Drosophila melanogaster: one gene and its partners. The protein of the gene in region 3 purifies or fractionates together with the protein of the main gene of each other region. This does not show direct contact. Each region holds a gene or a part of one and is shown on either strand. Other genes may lie near its edges.

Region 1 (3,605 bases), on a different chromosome or scaffold from region 3:
CAAGGACATTAAGGAAAGCGATTACTTTACCGACCGCGGTGAATTCAGGGTAGATGCCGAAGGTGCTCCGGCCCTGCTCAACTGCCTTATGTACAAATTAAGCTACTACAGATTCGGGGAATTGAAGTTGGACTACAGGTAAGCGGAAACATTTCTCTCAGGTAGCGATGCACACTAACTGCCTGTTTCAGAGGTCCATCTGGATATGATCGCACACGTAACGCCGTCATTGGGAATAAGGACTTCGATCTGACCTACCTGGAGGAGGCCTACACCACAGAACACTGGCTTGTTCGCATCTATAGGGTGAAGAAGCCGCATGAGTTCAATAGACCATCACTGAAGACCAAGGAGAGAACGATTCCTCCAGCAAACTTCATTTCGAGAAAGGTAGTGTACCCTGCAGCTCCCAATGAACTTCATTAACAATCTGATTCTTTGCAGAACTCTAAGCGTCGCAAGGGCTACATACGAAACCGACCGGTTGTTGTTAAGGGAAAACGAACCTTGAAATAAACCCAAAAAAAAAATAATTGTATTGATCTTTCACCAATATATATAACTTGGTTAAAACACTTTACACATAGCACATAGTTTGGTGAAAGTGTGTCCACCGCATCCTCATGTTGAGGGCTTTAATCGCCGCCTCAAATTCAACTTTCACATACTTCCCGACTCGTGCGACACAATTTTATCGAGTTGCTGCTTTCGTAAAATTTCCGGTTCCTTCGATTTAAATCTGTTCGCGGCTCCACCATTCATTGTCTTAAGCTAGCAATTCAATAAAGCAGAGTGTACATTTTTAAACCTTAATATCTATCATAGTTATTCATTTTTATTTGAACAGTAGCGATCTACAGCTCATAAGTCAAATGGCTAGTTAGTAGTGCTAGTTATCATTACGGCGACGTCGTTGGATTTTTCGTTCCAGGTCCCTGGACTTTTGCTTCTTGGCGGGAACGAATACGTCGGGCTCGTCGGGTTCATTTTGGTTAGAAGACTTGGGCTGAACCATGTTGGTATCGAAGTTGAACTCATCGTTGGAGTTGGCCAGTTGTCTGCGAAACACTGCGGCGCTGTTGGTGATCCGTGCTTTGGGATGCGAAGGAGGTAGCCACGAAACAGTCTGTGTGGTCGAGTTATAGAAGTAAAACGCCTTGCAGCCCTTATCGTAGACATCCTTCCAGCCCGCCTCCAGTGGATACTTCCGCAGCAATCTCTTGTAGCGCTTGAGATACCTATGGCTGGGCTGCGAAAGCGGCGAGCTGTTGAACTTGTTTACGCAGTACAGCGAGCACTTGTGGTATATGTTGTATTTGTTGGGACACAGCTTGTAGCCATGGTAGGACTCGTTCACGCCGATCCGCTCCTTGATGCGGTGCGACCAGAACTTCTCCTCGACGCTCCTGCGCTTGGGCTCCGGCGATGTGTCCTCCTTGTACGGGTAAGGGCCGCTCTTGTCATCGTCATCGTAGTTCTCGGCTATAATCTCTTCTATAGCTTCTGAAATCGGTGCTGCTCCTGTGGAAAGCTGAAGTTGGTTATCCTCTTTTTGGATTCTATACTGGTCTTTGTATTTACCCGACTGTTTGGTCACAAGTCCGCGCTTCTTCAGGCGCTGCAATAGTGCAGCTGGCAGGCTCATTTTGCTATTATTCTATTGTTAGTTTAAATAAATACGGTGCGGAAATAATATCAATATAAAATAATATGACCATGGATGTACGTGCATAAAATACCACACTTTCAAGAAACTTGTTTGTTTCAAAAGATAATTTTTTAAACGAAAAGTACTGAGATTAGATTATAAGTATATGATATATTGTTAAATATAAAAAATATAACTTTTGTTACTATTTTATTAAACCAAATTATTTCAAATAGAGAATATAATTTCACGGAATGGTATTTTGTGCCCCTGAGACGTATGGTCATATTATTTTCAGCTGCTCGAATAATATTTCAGGTCAGCTCAATTTGACTGATTATTATTAAATTGAACAGCAATATGGCCGATAACGCAGAACCACTGACTTTGTCCAGAGGTAAGGGTGCATGCTAACCATTCCCAGTTGGAGGAAACTCACACCCAATGCTCTAACTTTCAGATGTCAAAAGATCGATAGAGCTCTTGGAAAAGCTGCAAGCGAGTGGCGACTTCCCCACGACAAAACTGGCCGCCCTGCAGAAGGTGCTCAACTCGGACTTCATGACCTCCGTGCGGGAGGTGTACGAGCACGTCTACGAGACGGTGGACATCCAGGGCTCCCACGACGTGAGGGCATCCGCCACTGCCAAGGCCACTGTGGCAGCCTTCGCAGCCAGCGAGGGGCACGCTCATCCCAGAGTCGTCGAGCTCCCGAAAACGGAGGAGGGTAAGACACGCCCCTATGAGCTAAGAATCGAGGGGATTCCCCTATATCATAAAACCAATACCTTGATTGTAAAGGTCTATAGACCGAGAATATATGTTTCTATTATACATCTTATATGGAAAGCTTTATCAATCTTTAATTTTTGTTTTTCAGGCTTGGGTTTCAATGTAATGGGGGGCAAGGAGCAAAACTCGCCCATCTATATATCCCGAATAATACCTGGAGGCGTGGCTGACAGGCATGGTGGTCTGAAAAGGGGAGATCAACTTTTGTCTGTGAATGGTGTGGTAAGTCATTAATTCAGTTATGTACCTTAACTCCTTAAGAACTTGCAAAATATCAATATTTCAGTCTGTCGAAGGAGAAAACCACGAGAAGGCCGTAGAGCTATTAAAGCAAGCTGTCGGATCTGTAAAGCTGGTGGTACGCTACACACCAAAGGTTCTCGAGGAAATGGAAATGCGATTTGATAAGCAACGCAACACACGTCGTCGCCAATAAGGCACATCGGCAAAAACTTGTGCCATAGTAGTTTTTGCCATTAGACCATGCTGATATGCACGTATCAAGCCCTTTACGAATAATATAATTTAACACAAATACCATTTATATATTATTTATTACAAAGAAACTCTGGAAAATTACTCTTTAATCGTAAAAAGTGAGTGTTATGTATTTGTAACTAATTACCGCGTTGGTTTTTGTTCCAATAAATGTAATTAAAACTGTCAGACAATGCAAATCTTTTCTTCATAAGTTTCAGTCCATAAATGGGGCCCATTTCAAAACGCAACTTTGTAAATTTTAGTACGATTGCCGTAGAAAATATAAAAATACAGTTTTATTGCTTTTCTTTACAACGTATAACTTTTCACAATTTAGGAGAAGGATCGGTTCTTCAGCTTTTTAAGGAAATCCTTGGCCTGCTTATCACCTAGTCTGTATTCCAAGGCACGCAGTGATTCGGAATCTGAAAGCACATAACATGTATAAGTTTCCAGTTTTAATCTGCCAAAAGTATGATTAGGTACCTGTATACTCTGGTCTGGATAGATTCATCATTATTTGCTCGCCCGGTGGTGTCGCTTCCAGATCTGCGAAAGATATATAGCTCTCTGCTATATACTGGCTCGACATGCCGAATAAATCTTTATCTTTGATGCTAAATACAATAAGACTATTCTTTTCACTTCGCTGGTGGTCACTCAAGTTTCTGCCGAATGAAGGTAT
Region 2 (4,911 bases), 1.6 Mb from region 3:
ATCGTTTTTAATAGTTCATAAGAAGGCAGTAAGCTAACTTTATTCCTATTCCCCGACAAACCGTTTGCTTTAATAGACTCGTTCCGAGTTATTCTGGTACATTAATGTTTAGTAGGGAGCTACGCCTTTTGGTTCTCCTAATGGCGACTGGAAATTCCAAGAGTCGTGCTCCGCTAAACGCTTCAATGAGTCCCCAAGGGATCCTCCATCGAATGCTCGCTTGTGCGTAAATCTTTCGCTCGGGCTTCTTTCAAGCCTAAACACCAATTAAAATGCACTCAATACCCGTGTCACACACAAAAGACAAGCCCGAAAAACAAATGAAATACGAAATGGAATGAAATGAAATGGTGAAAAGTAAAACCGAAAACTTTCACTGCTTCGCCGCTTAAGAAACAAAGTGAATTAGTTGGACAGTGGGACAATTTGATGCGTTTTAATTGCTTCTAATTAGATTAGACCAGAGGCACCTGACTAGCCAGAAGATTCGAAACTATGTCGCACGCTAAGCTCCCACTTTGCTCAATTAAAATCAAATGCGCACGAGAGGTGCAAAGAAAGTACACATGTATAGTATGAGCGCGGCAGTGGAAAATGTGCCAAGCGCAACAAAGTGAAGTGAAGTCAAGGAAAAAATGCATTAGAAAGTATGCAAATATTTCAGATATTGCCAAGAAAACGCGGTGCCCAGGCTAGGTAATTAAATATATACTTTTTCGCCATGTCTTGACGTCGCCTCACACTTCCCGCTTCCCCGAGATCCGAAATCCCGACTCCAACAGCCAGATCCGTGCACCTCATATGGCAAACAAAGCACGCAATGGCCACGCGCAGCTGCGCAGGCGCGACTTGCACTTTCTACAAATGCGTAGAGAGCTTTACACTCTCCAGTCTTCAGTCTTCGGTCTTTGGTCTTCCAGCAACTGCAACGCCTTCACTCCCTTCACTCGCCGCCATTTATGTGGCATATCTCACCTTGGTGTGCAAGAATGCCAGACTCTTGTTGACATTTTCGATTTTATGGACGCGCATGCGTCCGCTGTTCGGCTTGCCCAGTTTCTCCGACGATATGATCTCCAGCAGCTTCAGCAGCTTGATGCCATCGGCCAGGTCTGTGAATAGGTCTTCGACCTCCATTTTGGCCTACAAAGAAGACGATAAGCCCAAATGTGAGTTGCATTCATAAATTGGTGGGGCCATAAAAGTTTCTTCCAATCAAAATTTCAAGTGAATGTATAATTTCGAATGTCATATACATATGGCGCTTTCATTTGAATACATCACTTTGATCGAGAAATTATAGTATTTAAACAATGAAAACTTTATGTGCTTAGCAAAACAAAGCATTTCTTTCATTTGTACTTTATAGTAATTAAATTACAAGTATTGGGAGTGATGAGTGACTCAAGTAGTTTACACACCTTGATCAGAAACGAGTTCATCCATTTTGTGAATGTCTTCTTCTGGATGTGCAAGCGCTCCTCCTGCAGCGTTTTGATCCGCTCGTTCTCGAACTTGATGATGCCGTCCCGCTGGGTCATGTTGGCGGAGTTGCGATTGGAAGGCGTCGGTGTCTGCAGCGCGGAGTAGCCTCCCGGCTCATATTGTGATGCTAAGTGGGGGGAAGGGAGGAGGAACAAAAATCTCGGATTAGTTCGAAGTCATATAAATGCAACGCGAAACGTTTAGGCTTAGTGTTTGTTTTGATTTTTTTTCATTTTTTTTGTATTTTTTTCCAGGAAAGAGAAATGGGCAAACCACCTGACAACAGACCAAAATCAATAATGGGCATAGGGAAAATAGAGGAAAAATACGAAAGGTATGTGGCAGAGATAGGGAAAGCACGACCGTGACGTACGAACCTATTGATTTAGAGATAACGAGTTATCGCCAACATAATTGCCTCTATAAAAAAATCCCTGGCTAAAGTTAGAACCACATTCCAAGGCAGTTTATTTGTAGTCTTTCGATTATGTCAAACGTAATTCCTAATTTTAAATCATTCCATCAGTGGGTTCCCATAATGTCAAAGATTACCAACGGGTATTTCAAACGAAGAACCAACAATCACTTTTTATTCGAACGCCTCATCACGTACTTTTGTTTTCTAGACCCGTTAAGATAAGCCATGTGTCGATTGGCGTTTCACATTTAGATCTTAGCTGAACAAAATTGTGAACACCTTTTTGAGTAAGCTTGATAGTGAATTTTAAAATATAGTGAAAGATTTTTAAGATGTAGAAATTAGCAATCTGTTGCTTTATTTCAAGTAACTTTACCTCATGAAAGAGTAAGGTATCTTTAAATTTCTTTTGCTAACAAGTGTAAGATAATTTCAACTCTACCAACTATAAACAAACCAAGCTGTGACCAACTTTCCAACCCAGTAGATATACCCCCAGCTAGCGTATCGAAATCAAAACAGTCGCTGCCCAGCGATAGTGGTTCTGCGAGCTTATCTGTCGACTGCCAAAATTACTTCATACCTATGGAAAATGCTTCACGACTTTGTTACTTTTTTTTTATCAACGGTTCGTTTTACGTAATACTGGACAAGAGAATATGTTAAAAAGTGAACAAAATTGGAGCGGAAACTGCAGAAAGCGAAACCATTTTTCTAGGCCGTTGACTCATTTGCCAAATATTTGCGCTCTTATCAACCAAATATGAAGTTCCACCCAACTGAGATAGATAAGAGCAGGTTACTTTCGTTTCGGGATTGTATAATGATCGCGAGCTTCCAGGGGAAAAGTTCAAGTTCAGAAACCTACCCAACGATTGGCGTTCGTAGGATATATATCGGCGATACTCGTTGCGCGAGAAATTCGAGCGCAGAACACTATTGTACTCCATGGCCTTTGATCAGTGATTTCTAGGGTGTTTCTCAAGATATCCGGGCTTTCAGCACCGAGTGCCGTTCCTTAAAGCTAATCTTTCGTTTTTTATTTCTATTTTGTATTTCGACACTAAGTTTCGTTCCTACGGTCAGATGTTCGCAGAGCCCGCGCCGTTTGGTCACTAAAAACAATGTGTGCCCAACATTTTGCACGCCCCAAAAATGTAGAGTGGGGGAAAGCTTCCTCCCCCTCTTGGCTCTGTTTATCAGATGAATTAAAAGCCAAATGCCAAGAGTGGCAACAAAAATGCTTCAACTGGCCTATGGTGAATTCCCTTTATCGCACGAGCTGATAGCAGTATGAGAAAACGGTTAAGGTATCTGAAAATCCTTGCCTTGACAAACAGCCAATAGACCCTGTCGGCTTATCTTATCGGTCCATAAATCCCGCATACCTCGGACATATGTTTTTCGGAATAAATACATATATATAGAGGGGAATGCACTTCCAATATCAAGTTATTTATGGCGCCCTATCAGATTCCGCAGACTAATGAATGGGCCATTTAGAATAGCTGCCAAATTCGATCATTCCCAATGACATCATGCCAAAGAGTTATAATCTGCTGTCTACTCGGGTCGGGTGTCATAACTCCGCTAATAGATCATTTACTATACATATGTGCCGCCAATGGCGTTGAGGTCACCTGGAAGGCATTCGCGGCTAATTGGCAAACAGAACACTTCGCTTTCGCAAATAGAAAAATCAATTAAAAAGAGGTGAAAACTAAACAATAAAAAACCAACAACACCAGTGTGACAATAAACTTTACCATACCGCGATAACGTTCGACGCTTATCATTATCGAGTGGCAAACAAAACCTAGAAAATGCAGAGTGCGGCATAACTTTAGGCTTAGCAGGAAAAGCAATTAAAACTGTGCCTCCTTGATCCCCAAAATAGAACGCATCCCCCAACTCACATACAGCTGTCTTTGGCCATAAACTATTTATACAACTAAAGTCGCCGGAAAAGGACGGCAGAGGCAAAGTCAGGGGCAAATGCGAACCGAGGCTCGAATTCCGGGCATCCTGTTTACTTCAATTGTGATACAACATGGTAGCACAGCACATGCGCGGCAGCTGGGAGCAGGAACACTCGGATTCCGCGCCTCTTTCTATTTATAAACCACCACACTTCACTCATCGCAAACACTTTGAAAACGATTTTTATAGATTTTCAACTTCTTCGGTGTTCTCTAGATCTTGTGTGTTCCACATACACGGTTAGCTAATGAACAAGGCGTGCAACAACCTCGGAGTTGTGTAAGAATTTGCATAAATCAATAAACATTTAGCATTTTGTATGCTTAATTTTTATGGCCCATACGCTAAGTCACACATATCATTTAGCAAATCCCGAATTAAATGATACTTTAAAGTATATCAAAAAGAAGTTAGGCATCTTTTTTTGGCAACCTTTTTCTACTCAGATAACATCCGAGGTAGTTACCGATTTTAATTACTTTTGCGTGAGTGATGGCATATGTCTGATAAAAGCGTAGTTTTTCAGCCATCTCCGCTTTGAACCGAAAATAATGAGACCTATAGCTCGGCAAATTAGGGAATTGGTGGTCTTTGTTGTCAAAAATTTCTACGCATAAAATTACCTCATCAGTGGCTGGAAATTAAAATTCAGTTTTGGCCTCAGTCGAAAAGAAGAATACAGATTGACACAACACAACAAGTAGAAACCCACAGTGATATAAATTCTTTTGTTTGTGCCTGGCATGCTAAACAATTTTTTAAAATCAACGAGAGAAAATAACAAACAATTTCAAAGAGAAAACAGCTAAGCTGGAGACGAAAGAGCCACAGACTTGGATTTAATTTAAACAATAGATCTAAACTGGAAATGATCTATAGAGTTACGTTTTTATTCTGCTAAAGTTGAACAGAGACTTATGATACTCTTAACTTAATATGAGATAGATAGATGAACAGAAATATATCTATCTTCACTCTTTTCTCATCAATAAATTCAAATATTACCCCAACTCCATTAAAAGCCAAAT
Region 3 (8,831 bases):
AACACTATTCAGCATGTGGGCCAATTTTGCCCACAATGGTTCAGTGAGGCCATCGTGCCGGCGGTGGTTTGATAGCATGCATGGATTGTCCTCGAAAAACTTAACGTACAGCTCCTTTTGGTCCTTGGACATGCGTTCGCCGCGTTCTTTAAGAGAATTATTAAGGATTTAGTTCGGATTTCAGACTTTTGCAAGCACTTCTCTCACTTCTAAAGCGACTCATCAGACCCGGTGTGTAAGGCGACTGTTGGGAGGTATTTGGTGCATTCATCGACGGCAAAGGATGCGTGTAGCTGGGGAAGATCTGCTGACCGGGCAGCAACTGCTGCTGGTGCTGTTGCTGCTGGGCTTGGTGCTGTTCCTGGCGCGCTAGGAATCTGGAGGCCCGCTGCAGACGTTCCACCTCCGATTCGGACTCCGACTTGGGTATAATATCCATGGGGTCAATGGCCTGGGTCATCGATTCCGGCGTCCGTTCCGAGTAAGCCTGCCCCAGGCGCAGTTTGTGGGAACTATCCGTGCGTTCCGGCACCGAGTTGTTGCCCTGCTGGTCCAGTGGCGAGTCCACCGCCTCAGAACTCATACGTAGGGCCGGAGAGGTGGGCTGGGAGTCAGGCACATATTCATGGGCGTGGTGCGAGGCGCTTTCGTTTGACCGCTGCGGCAGAGGCACGTGGTGCTGGTGCTGATGAGGGTGGTGCTTCAGGACCGCCATCGAGCATGAGGGCTCGTAGGAGAGCATCTCCTTGGCGTGGCCATCGTCCAGAGCTGCAAGAGGGAGCATTTTACAATTTGGGTTTTATTACAGATGGCAATCGCAGAGACTTACAAGCGAAGCGCACGCATCGTCTACATAAACACAACTGATCTACAAACAAGACTTGACTGTGAAACTCCGGAACTCCGCGAAATCGCGACTTTTGGTGGCCCGCAGTCACTCGAACGCTTAAACGCTAATTGAAACGCGACTTAGCCGTAACTTAAACGCTATTTACCTTGACTGATCTCTATAACGAAGTTGGTGAGGTCGTGCCTCTGGGCCAGATAGTGCAGCAGCAGTTCGTCCGGGATGTTGAAGCCGATCTTCTTGTTCCGGAACTCGAAGTTGTAGATCCCGAAGGCGGCGCGCACTGTGGAGCGGGATTTGTTAGACATATTTCATTTTTGGCGACCAAATCGCTTGGGGGCTCCGTGATTTGAGCCACCTCCCCCTCTCCGACCAGACCAGTGCTTACCCACGTTCTTTAGGTCCCATATGTTTAGGTCGCGGTTCTCCTGCGGCACCCCGATCATCAGCAGCTTCTTCGTGTCGCGAAACTGAAACGGAATTATGATTCCCGATCGCAGCACCATTTTCAAAGCGCCCACACACGCGATTTATAAAAATTTTCACAAATTTCTCAAGTCCGCTTTGTGCTTGTCCTCCGTAATTGTTTTGGTCTCCGTTTATTGTCGTTCGTAAACAGCGAACTAGTTTCGAGCTCCCCGAAGTCTGGCCACACATCTGCAGTTCCGCGAATCGGAGCGGAATACGCGGCTTATAAGATTTCCTCGAAAAATATTATTTTCTCCCTTAATTTAACGCTTTATCTAAATTACGAAATCTATGCATGTGCAAATTCAATTTTTTTTTAATATATAATCTTAAATGCCAAGCAAGAACTAGTTCCAAAGACGGCTGAACAAAAATAAAAACTCTCGCCTGGTCACACAGTAAAGCTGATTTCATAGGGGGAAAAGCAAAGCAATAGGATTTCGAGTAATCCCGTCCATATGTATTGGAGTTATCCACCTACTGAGCATGCATAGGTTCTTCCAGGTTGTTTCCAGCACTTGATCCGATACAAGAGTTAGCTGCCCGCCTTCACAATGCTCGAGAACTGTCAGCGTCACCACATGCTCCTTGGACTAGGAGCCCTAACGATGGTCACCATACTCGTCCTGTTCGTGGAATCTCGTTACGCGGCAGATGGTCCTCGTCGCCGAGAGCCGCAATTCGTGATCGAGGACAACTCGACCTGCTGGCGGAATGAGAAGTACACGATGGTGCAGGAGTGCCACCCGTGCTCCGAATTCGATATAGTCAGCCGGAGCTTGGGCGTCTGCATTCACACGCACTACAAGGAGGTGCTGCGCTGCCAGAGCGGCGAGATCGTAACCAGGAGCTGCGACCGGGTGGCGCTCATCGAGCAAATGAACTTCTTGAAATTTGAGGTCTCGTGCTTTGTAATCGGATTACTTAGCTACCTGGTCAGTTATGCCCGCGATCGAGTCCTGTCCAGGCGCAACTACATGAGAATCGAGCGACAGCTAAACCGGGTCCAATAGCCCTCCGCCAAATCATCGATTCCCTTCCCCAAGTGATACTCATTGACCGTACGGAAGGTACATTATTTAATTTAGTTTAAGTACATACACTCTGGAAATACCATGTTAAAATTCATTTGCTAATACTAGGGGGTTTAATATATTGCATACTTGTGGAATGCTTGTTTTCAGGGGACAAACACAATTCGGCGTTAATAATATGCATAACATTTTGCTTCGGTAATAACAATCGCTCCTGTACTTCTGGCATCGTTTCTGACATCGTTTCAGATTCTACTGCCTGTTGTTCATATTCGTAGAAAATATCGATTAACTAATCCATTAGTTAGCAACCGCGTTTGATTTGATTTAAAACAGGCTTAAAGATTCAAATGCCTGGAATGTGTGAAATTCTTCGTTATCGTAACACCCTAGTTCCGCCAGTCGGGAATCAGGTCGGGCTCAGCTCCCATGGAGGCACTAGGCGGCATGGCGGGCGGAGCAACTGTGGGCAAGGCTGGAGGCGATGGCTGGGCGTCCAAGGTCTCTTCGCTGGTGGTGCTCGCATTGCTGCAAGCCTTCAGTGAGTTGTCCGTCATGGGCAGTGGTTTGGCCACACCAATGCGCACCACTCCTTTCGAAGCACCCTTCAAAGCCTGCACTGCCTGATCCAGCGAGGCGTTCTCCAGGTTAATGGAGTTCACAAACAAAAGTCGATCTCCGGGTATAAGGCGTCCGTCCAATTGAGCCACCCCTCCAGGGACCAGAGAACGGATTACAATCAGCGTATCGTTGGGATCCAACGGATCTTGATAATCCAGAATAGAGAAGCCCAGACCGCGATCGCCCTTGACCAGCTCGATAATTTGCGGTTGGGACGACCACATAGCCAATCCGGTTAGTGGCTCCAGGGAGCGCGACTTCAGCTTACTAAACGAAGCAGCGGCGGCAGCCACTGAATCTCCATCGGCCACGGAGCCCGCGGTGGCCAGACTACCATCTGATTTGGCCTTCACCAGACGATCGGTAGCAGGCAGCAGGTTCTCAAAGTTGTTGCTTAGCTTTTTCAGGGTGTCATCAGAGAATGGGAGAAGCGAGCTGTTCCTGTTGCGACCGCAAACCATGCGCACATCCAACGGCAGTTCCTTAAGTATAGCCACCACCTCCAGGTGGTTCATACCCAGCAACCGCTCGCCGTTTACCTCCAGCAATTCATCGCCAGAGCGGAGTACTCCATTCACGCCAACGGGTCCATCAGGTAAGATTGAACGAATATAGTGATGGGGTCGTACCTCGCGCCCTCCTTCTACGTCCACGGTTCCCTCCAAGGAAATCCCCAAGCCTCCGACCGCGAACTTCTTGATCTGGGCCACAATCACCTCCACATCGGAGCCCACAATCTTCTGCCATTTGCGAATAATTTCGGTTTCGGCGTCGTCGGACAGTTCCGGATCGGTGTAGTACTTGTGACGGGTGATCACCCCGCTGTTCTTGGCCTAAAACATGTTAATGCGCTATACGTTTTGCTGCTGTGTTACCCGTTAGCTAATACTCACCTCCGTTTTATCCGCCAAGGGTACAACTTCCGTGGGTATGATCTTCGTGGAGCCGTCTAGGGAGTCCCTTACTGCTACTAGTTGCTTACCCGCTCCAAAGGAGCTTAATGTGGTGGTGGTCATTGTGGTGACCGACGGCGGAGTGGTCATGAATGCTTCTGGCGCTGGTAAGGCTTCCTCTTCCAACTCGCGAGTGATGCTGCGTGATGGTGTAGTTGTGGCGGAGGACGTTGTGGCCACGGGCGTGGGCATGGGAGCCCTTGAAGGCGTTCCAGGTGCACTGGATGGAAGCTTGTCATTCGCAGCGATAGCCTGCTGCAGCTGCTCGAATTTGGGGCCCCTCAGGTAGCGTTCCAAGCGCAGGTTCACCACCTGACCAGACTTCTTAAGCAGCTCTACGGCCTGGTGGTTGGAGTAGCCTTGTAGCGACTGGCCGTCAACTTCAATGATGCGATCGTTGACCCGGATGCGACCACTCAGGTCCGCTGCTGAACCGGGCGACACGCTCTTTACGAAAATGCCAGACAGCTCTTCTTTCTCACACACATAGCCGGCAATTGTGATGCCCAGGCCGTTGGCATCCTTCTTCAGCTCCACCTGAAGCTTCTCCGTTTCAGGAAGGGCAAGCAATTCCTCTAGGTCGATGTTTGGATCAATAAGCATTGATGTCTCGCCGCGATAAACGAAACGATCGTCTTCCGTGGTGGTCTGCGGAGTGGAGGCCGTGGAGCTCTCGCCAAAGATTTCCGGATAGCCGGTAGATATGAGGTACCGCTCCAGCTCGGCAGGATCGACGAGGACGCGCGTGGGCACCACAGCAGTGCCCGGTTCCAGGGCGTACTGGGGCGTAGGCACGCTCTGCTCAACGGGACGGGCAACCACTAGGCGGACGTGGGTTCCAGACTGTCTCAGCACGGCAGCCACCTGTTCGGATACCATTTCGTGCAGGTTGACGTCTCCAATCTGGAGGATGTGGTCGCCCGAGCGCAAGCGTCCGTCCTTATCGGCCACGCCACCCGGCAGGATGGTTTTTACAATCACTCCCGAGTTGCGAGCTCCAATAATACCGAATCCGAGACCCGTGCCGTCGTTGACCAGCTCTATGGCCTGGATCTGAGCGTAGTCCGTGGCGTAGAGATCCGCCACTCCGGCTCCTTTGGAGTTCTGGCTCTGCGGGCGCGGCTCCTCGCCGACGCCTCCGGACTTATCTGGACTGCCCGGAGCCGAATGGGAGTGCGAGGAAGAGCGCTGTTCGTCAAAGTCGTACATCACCTCGCCACCATTCAGACTGAGTACAAGGTTGCCGGCCACATCGATGTCGAAGTCGTTGGGCAACATGGACGGATGCTGAGCCAGCTGGGCGTTCAGCTCGGACAACGAGTCCTGCACGTGGACGATGGTGCGGAAAACGGGATCCTGCAGAATGCCCAGAATGGTGCTAAGGCTCTCGGCCGTCTGCATTTGCAGCTTGGGGTCGTCGGACTCATCGATGCCCTTCTTCACTGCCTCGATCTGCTGAAGGGCGCTGGAAATATCCGCGCTGAGGTGCATCTTGCGTCAGTGGGCGTGGTCAGCGAGCGGTGCGCGGTGCGGTCAGTGGAGCGTGGTCCCCGTCTCTATCCCACTTCCGCTGGCGTTTCTATGGACTTCTGGGTGGGGGCGTTGTGGCGTTGGCACACTTTGTCCTAAACTGCAAAACGGGTAATTCGATTTGGGCTCTAAGTGGGACAGCTTCGGATCAGTTACTGTGCCGTTTGGATGCAGCGAGTTGTTTACCCTCTCCTATGCACTCTTTTCGGTGGCCACTTGCTCTGCTGCTGCTGCTGTAATTGATTTTTAATTATCTCTGAAATGGAATGCCAAATGCATTTTCTTTTCACAAACAGCTGATGGACAGGGTTGCCGAGCGGCTGCGTTGTGCATCGATAAGCAATCGACATAATCGGAACAGTTGCCACCTTTTCAAAATCAATTCAAATTCGACCGTTACATCTGCTAATTTAATTAAATCTAAGATTTTTGAATATAGTCTGCATGTGCTCGTATGTAATATGGCTATACGAAATAACCCAACAACATCTATCCTTTTAAACGCAAATTTTGAATTTAATTTCTCTGTACGCACAAATATCTGTGTTCCAAATACGGAAAAACAATAAGGTGTCTGCCATCAAACCATGTTACGTTCCTCCTCCTCCTCCAATTCTATTTCGAGCTTGCGGAATTCGCGGAAGAATTCGCGAGTGATATGCTTCATATGTGGAGTCAAGTACTTGGGAAAGATATCTGCAGAAGAAACAGAGAAACTATCAGAAACTATTGAAACCTCCAACAGAAAAGGAAAACCCACAATCAAATTCTATAATGAGATCCCCGAACTGCTCCACCTTCTTGTTGGCCTCCTTGATGGCCGTAACTGCATCCAAATTGCGGCACTTGGGGAGTCCCTCGAGGGGAACCACTTTGGTGTATCCCGGCTGCACTACGTCCGTAATGACCACCTTCAACTGGCGCCGGTCCAGCGTGCAAATGAAGAACGTGAAGCCGGTGAAGGCCTGGCACAGGCCAATAGACTGCCTGTAGACCAGGTCGTGTTGGTTTCTCCTCTCAAAGTCCGGATGCGGCTTGTCGGCGGCAATGAAAATAATATCACCCGGAATGGTGGCCGGATAGCGATCGCCCTCCTCCTTGAAGCAGAAGCGAGTTCCGGCCGTAGTTCCCGGGGCAATGTTCAGCTTTAAGGTGTGCTTGCGCTTCTCCAGCCGCGACTCCTTGGCGTCCACGATCTCCTGGCGCCACACGTTCATCAGCTTGACGCAGCCAGTGCGTACTTCCTCCAGCGACAGCTCGATGATCCTCTCCGTACTGGCGTCCTTGGAACGCACGCCAATGCCATGCTGGCGCGTAGCGTACAAGCTCGGTGGATTGGAGATCGCATCGATCACGTTGGCATACGGCGAGTAGCTACCGAAGACCCGCTCGTAGACCTTCATGTGGTCGCCGTCGTACTGATAGGGCGGAAAGTATCCGTTCGGCAGCATGACGCCCTCGAACAAACCCGCCTCGCCAAAGCGATCGTATATGGCCCGGTACAGATCGTTGCCCAGCACATCGAAGGCCATGTTGACGTAGGCCCACTGCCTGGGCTCGCCCATGGGTGAGAGGTGCGTGAGACGACCCTCCTGGGCCAGCGGCACAAAGTCCTGCTCGTCCTTCTTGTCGCGATGTGGGCAAAGCCGAATGGCCAGGCGGCGGTAGGCCAGAGTAATCTGCTCCTTGGTGGCGCCTCTGGGCTGATCCAGCACCGCGTAGTAGTCCAGCTCCGGCCGGTTCATTGTTTCTATTCGGAGTCGAAGCGTATAACAACTGGCAGAAGTGTTCACAGAATGTTTGACGTGTGACTGAGAATTTATTCAAATTATATACAATAACTCAACTGACGCAGGATCTGGCTATGGATGAAATATGCTTGTGGACAAATACATTAAGATTAGAGCTATGGTGTAGATGGAAACGTGGCGGCGATCAGTCAACGTCCTCGGTGCTGACGCCAGTGTAGATGGGCTCCTCCTTGGCTGCACTCTCTGATTTGGCATCGTCGGTCTTCTCCTCGCCACCGGCGACGTCATCCGAGTCATCTTCCTCCTTCTTGTCACCCTCCAAGTCAGCGGCATTGGGCACCCAGAGACCAGAGTCCACACAACGCTTCATGTGCAGCTTGGCGACGTCCACGGGCATGGCCGCAATGGTCTTCTGCAGCAGCTCTACGTCGCGGGACTCGAAACAGGCCTTTAGTTCCTGCGGAGCAAATACATGAAAAGTTAGTCAAGTAATTCCCATACAGTGAATCACTAGAACGTACATCGGGCAGGGATTCAAAGACATCGGCTGGGTCCAGACCACCAGGTCCGAGGCGCTCCTTGCGCTCCTCCTCTTCGGCCTGGGCTATCGCCTCCTGGATCTTCTCCTGCGCACGCTTCTGGATACGTCCTTTGAAACCTTCGATCTCGCTGTCGAACTGCGCGCGGTACTCGGGATGACAGTGCTGGATCTTTGAGAAGAAGGAGCTGACACAGGCGCGAGGATCCACGTCCAGCTGTTTGGCCAACTCTAGAATGTACTGCATGCAAATGCACTGATGCGCCACGTGGGCCATCAGCTCGTGCTTCTCCTCCATTTCCAGGTTGATGGACCAAATGACTAGGTAGTTGGCCGTCTCCTCGCCCACCAAGTGAAGATGCTCCTGCAGAAACCGCTTCGAATCGTCGTACTTGCGCAGCATGCCATACTGCTGGCAGAGCTTCTCGTTCTCCTTGACGAATTGCTTCATGCGCTGCTCTCGCTCTTCCTCGGACAGATTCTCATCCGGCTTGCGGCCGGCCTTCTTGTTGATTACGGTCTTCTCAAAGCCGGGCTTGCTGATGGTGTCCACGTTCCAGGGTGTTTTCTTTTCCTTCTTAATCATCTCGCTCTCGATGCGGTCCAGCTCTTTGCCCTCGGCCTCGATCTTTTCGAGCTCTTTCTGTAGGCGATACAAATTAGGGATTAAGCATTGCGATGAAAGATGGATGGCCACTTAGGATGATAGTCAATCATAAGCTTGACAATAAGAATAAATTAGATGGATTGAGAACATAGGGAACTCCCAGACCAGGCATTAGCCTAAGCAACAAGTGCGCAGTGCATTCGGTGCAATGACCCACCTTCAGGGCCTCCTCGTCGCCATCCTTCTTTGAGATCCGCTCCTTGACGTCCATGAGGCGCGCCTGGTAGCTCTGGCGCTTTTTCTTAAGCTCGTCCTTCTCGTGGTCCATCTCCGCCATGCGCTCCACGCGCGCCTGGTGCCGCCAGCGGAACAGAGAAGGCGTGTCTATGTTTGGGTGAGTGTCGTCCTCATCATCCGAAATCTAAAAGGTAGTGTGCCGATTAGGAGGACTTTTTGGGTTGGCACCCAGCAGTGGGCTCACC

Evidence for each region. Proteins that work in one complex are often made in the same cells at the same time.
Region 1: the proteins of Patj (region 3) and veli purify together in Drosophila melanogaster (affinity purification with western blotting; one study listed by BioGRID). This does not show direct contact.
Region 2: the proteins of Patj (region 3) and kst purify together in Drosophila melanogaster (affinity purification with western blotting, with the first as the bait; one study listed by BioGRID). This does not show direct contact.

The regions. Positions count from the first base shown.
Region 1 is NT_033777.3:25,063,918-25,067,522, reverse strand, and holds veli (veli), read left to right. Parts: upstream 1-1,931; 5' UTR 1,932-2,008; coding exon 2,009-2,045; intron 2,046-2,108; coding exon 2,109-2,662; intron 2,663-2,726; coding exon 2,727-2,876; 3' UTR 2,877-3,105; downstream 3,106-3,605. Other genes in the region: Stt3B (catalytic subunit 3B of the oligosaccharyltransferase complex), read left to right, coding at 1-138, 192-390, 445-516; PQBP1 (Poly-glutamine tract binding protein 1), read right to left, coding at 890-1,521, 1,582-1,645; stac (staccato), read right to left, coding at 3,254-3,345, 3,407-3,588.
Region 2 is NT_037436.4:3,348,197-3,353,107, reverse strand, and holds the start of kst (karst), read right to left. Parts: upstream 3,001-4,911; 5' UTR 2,854-3,000; coding exon 2,772-2,853; intron 1,613-2,771; coding exon 1,422-1,612; intron 1,144-1,421; coding exon 976-1,143; intron 1-975.
Region 3 is NT_037436.4:1,795,732-1,804,562, reverse strand, and holds Patj (patj), read right to left. Parts: upstream 5,761-8,831; 5' UTR 5,640-5,760; exon of another isoform or gene 5,610-5,639; intron 5,582-5,609; exon of another isoform or gene 5,554-5,581; 5' UTR 5,415-5,553; coding exon 3,864-5,414; intron 3,804-3,863; coding exon 2,739-3,803; 3' UTR 2,379-2,738; downstream 1-2,378. Other genes in the region: CG42676 (uncharacterized protein), read right to left, coding at 996-1,130, 1,236-1,353; JTBR, read left to right, coding at 1,870-2,328; CG12020 (uncharacterized protein), read right to left, coding at 6,034-6,149, 6,214-7,198; Cdc37 (cell division cycle 37), read right to left, coding at 7,389-7,661, 7,726-8,385, 8,567-8,770, 8,831-8,831. UniProt on the Drosophila melanogaster protein: Involved in cell polarity establishment. Probably participates in the assembly, positioning and maintenance of adherens junctions via its interaction with the SAC complex.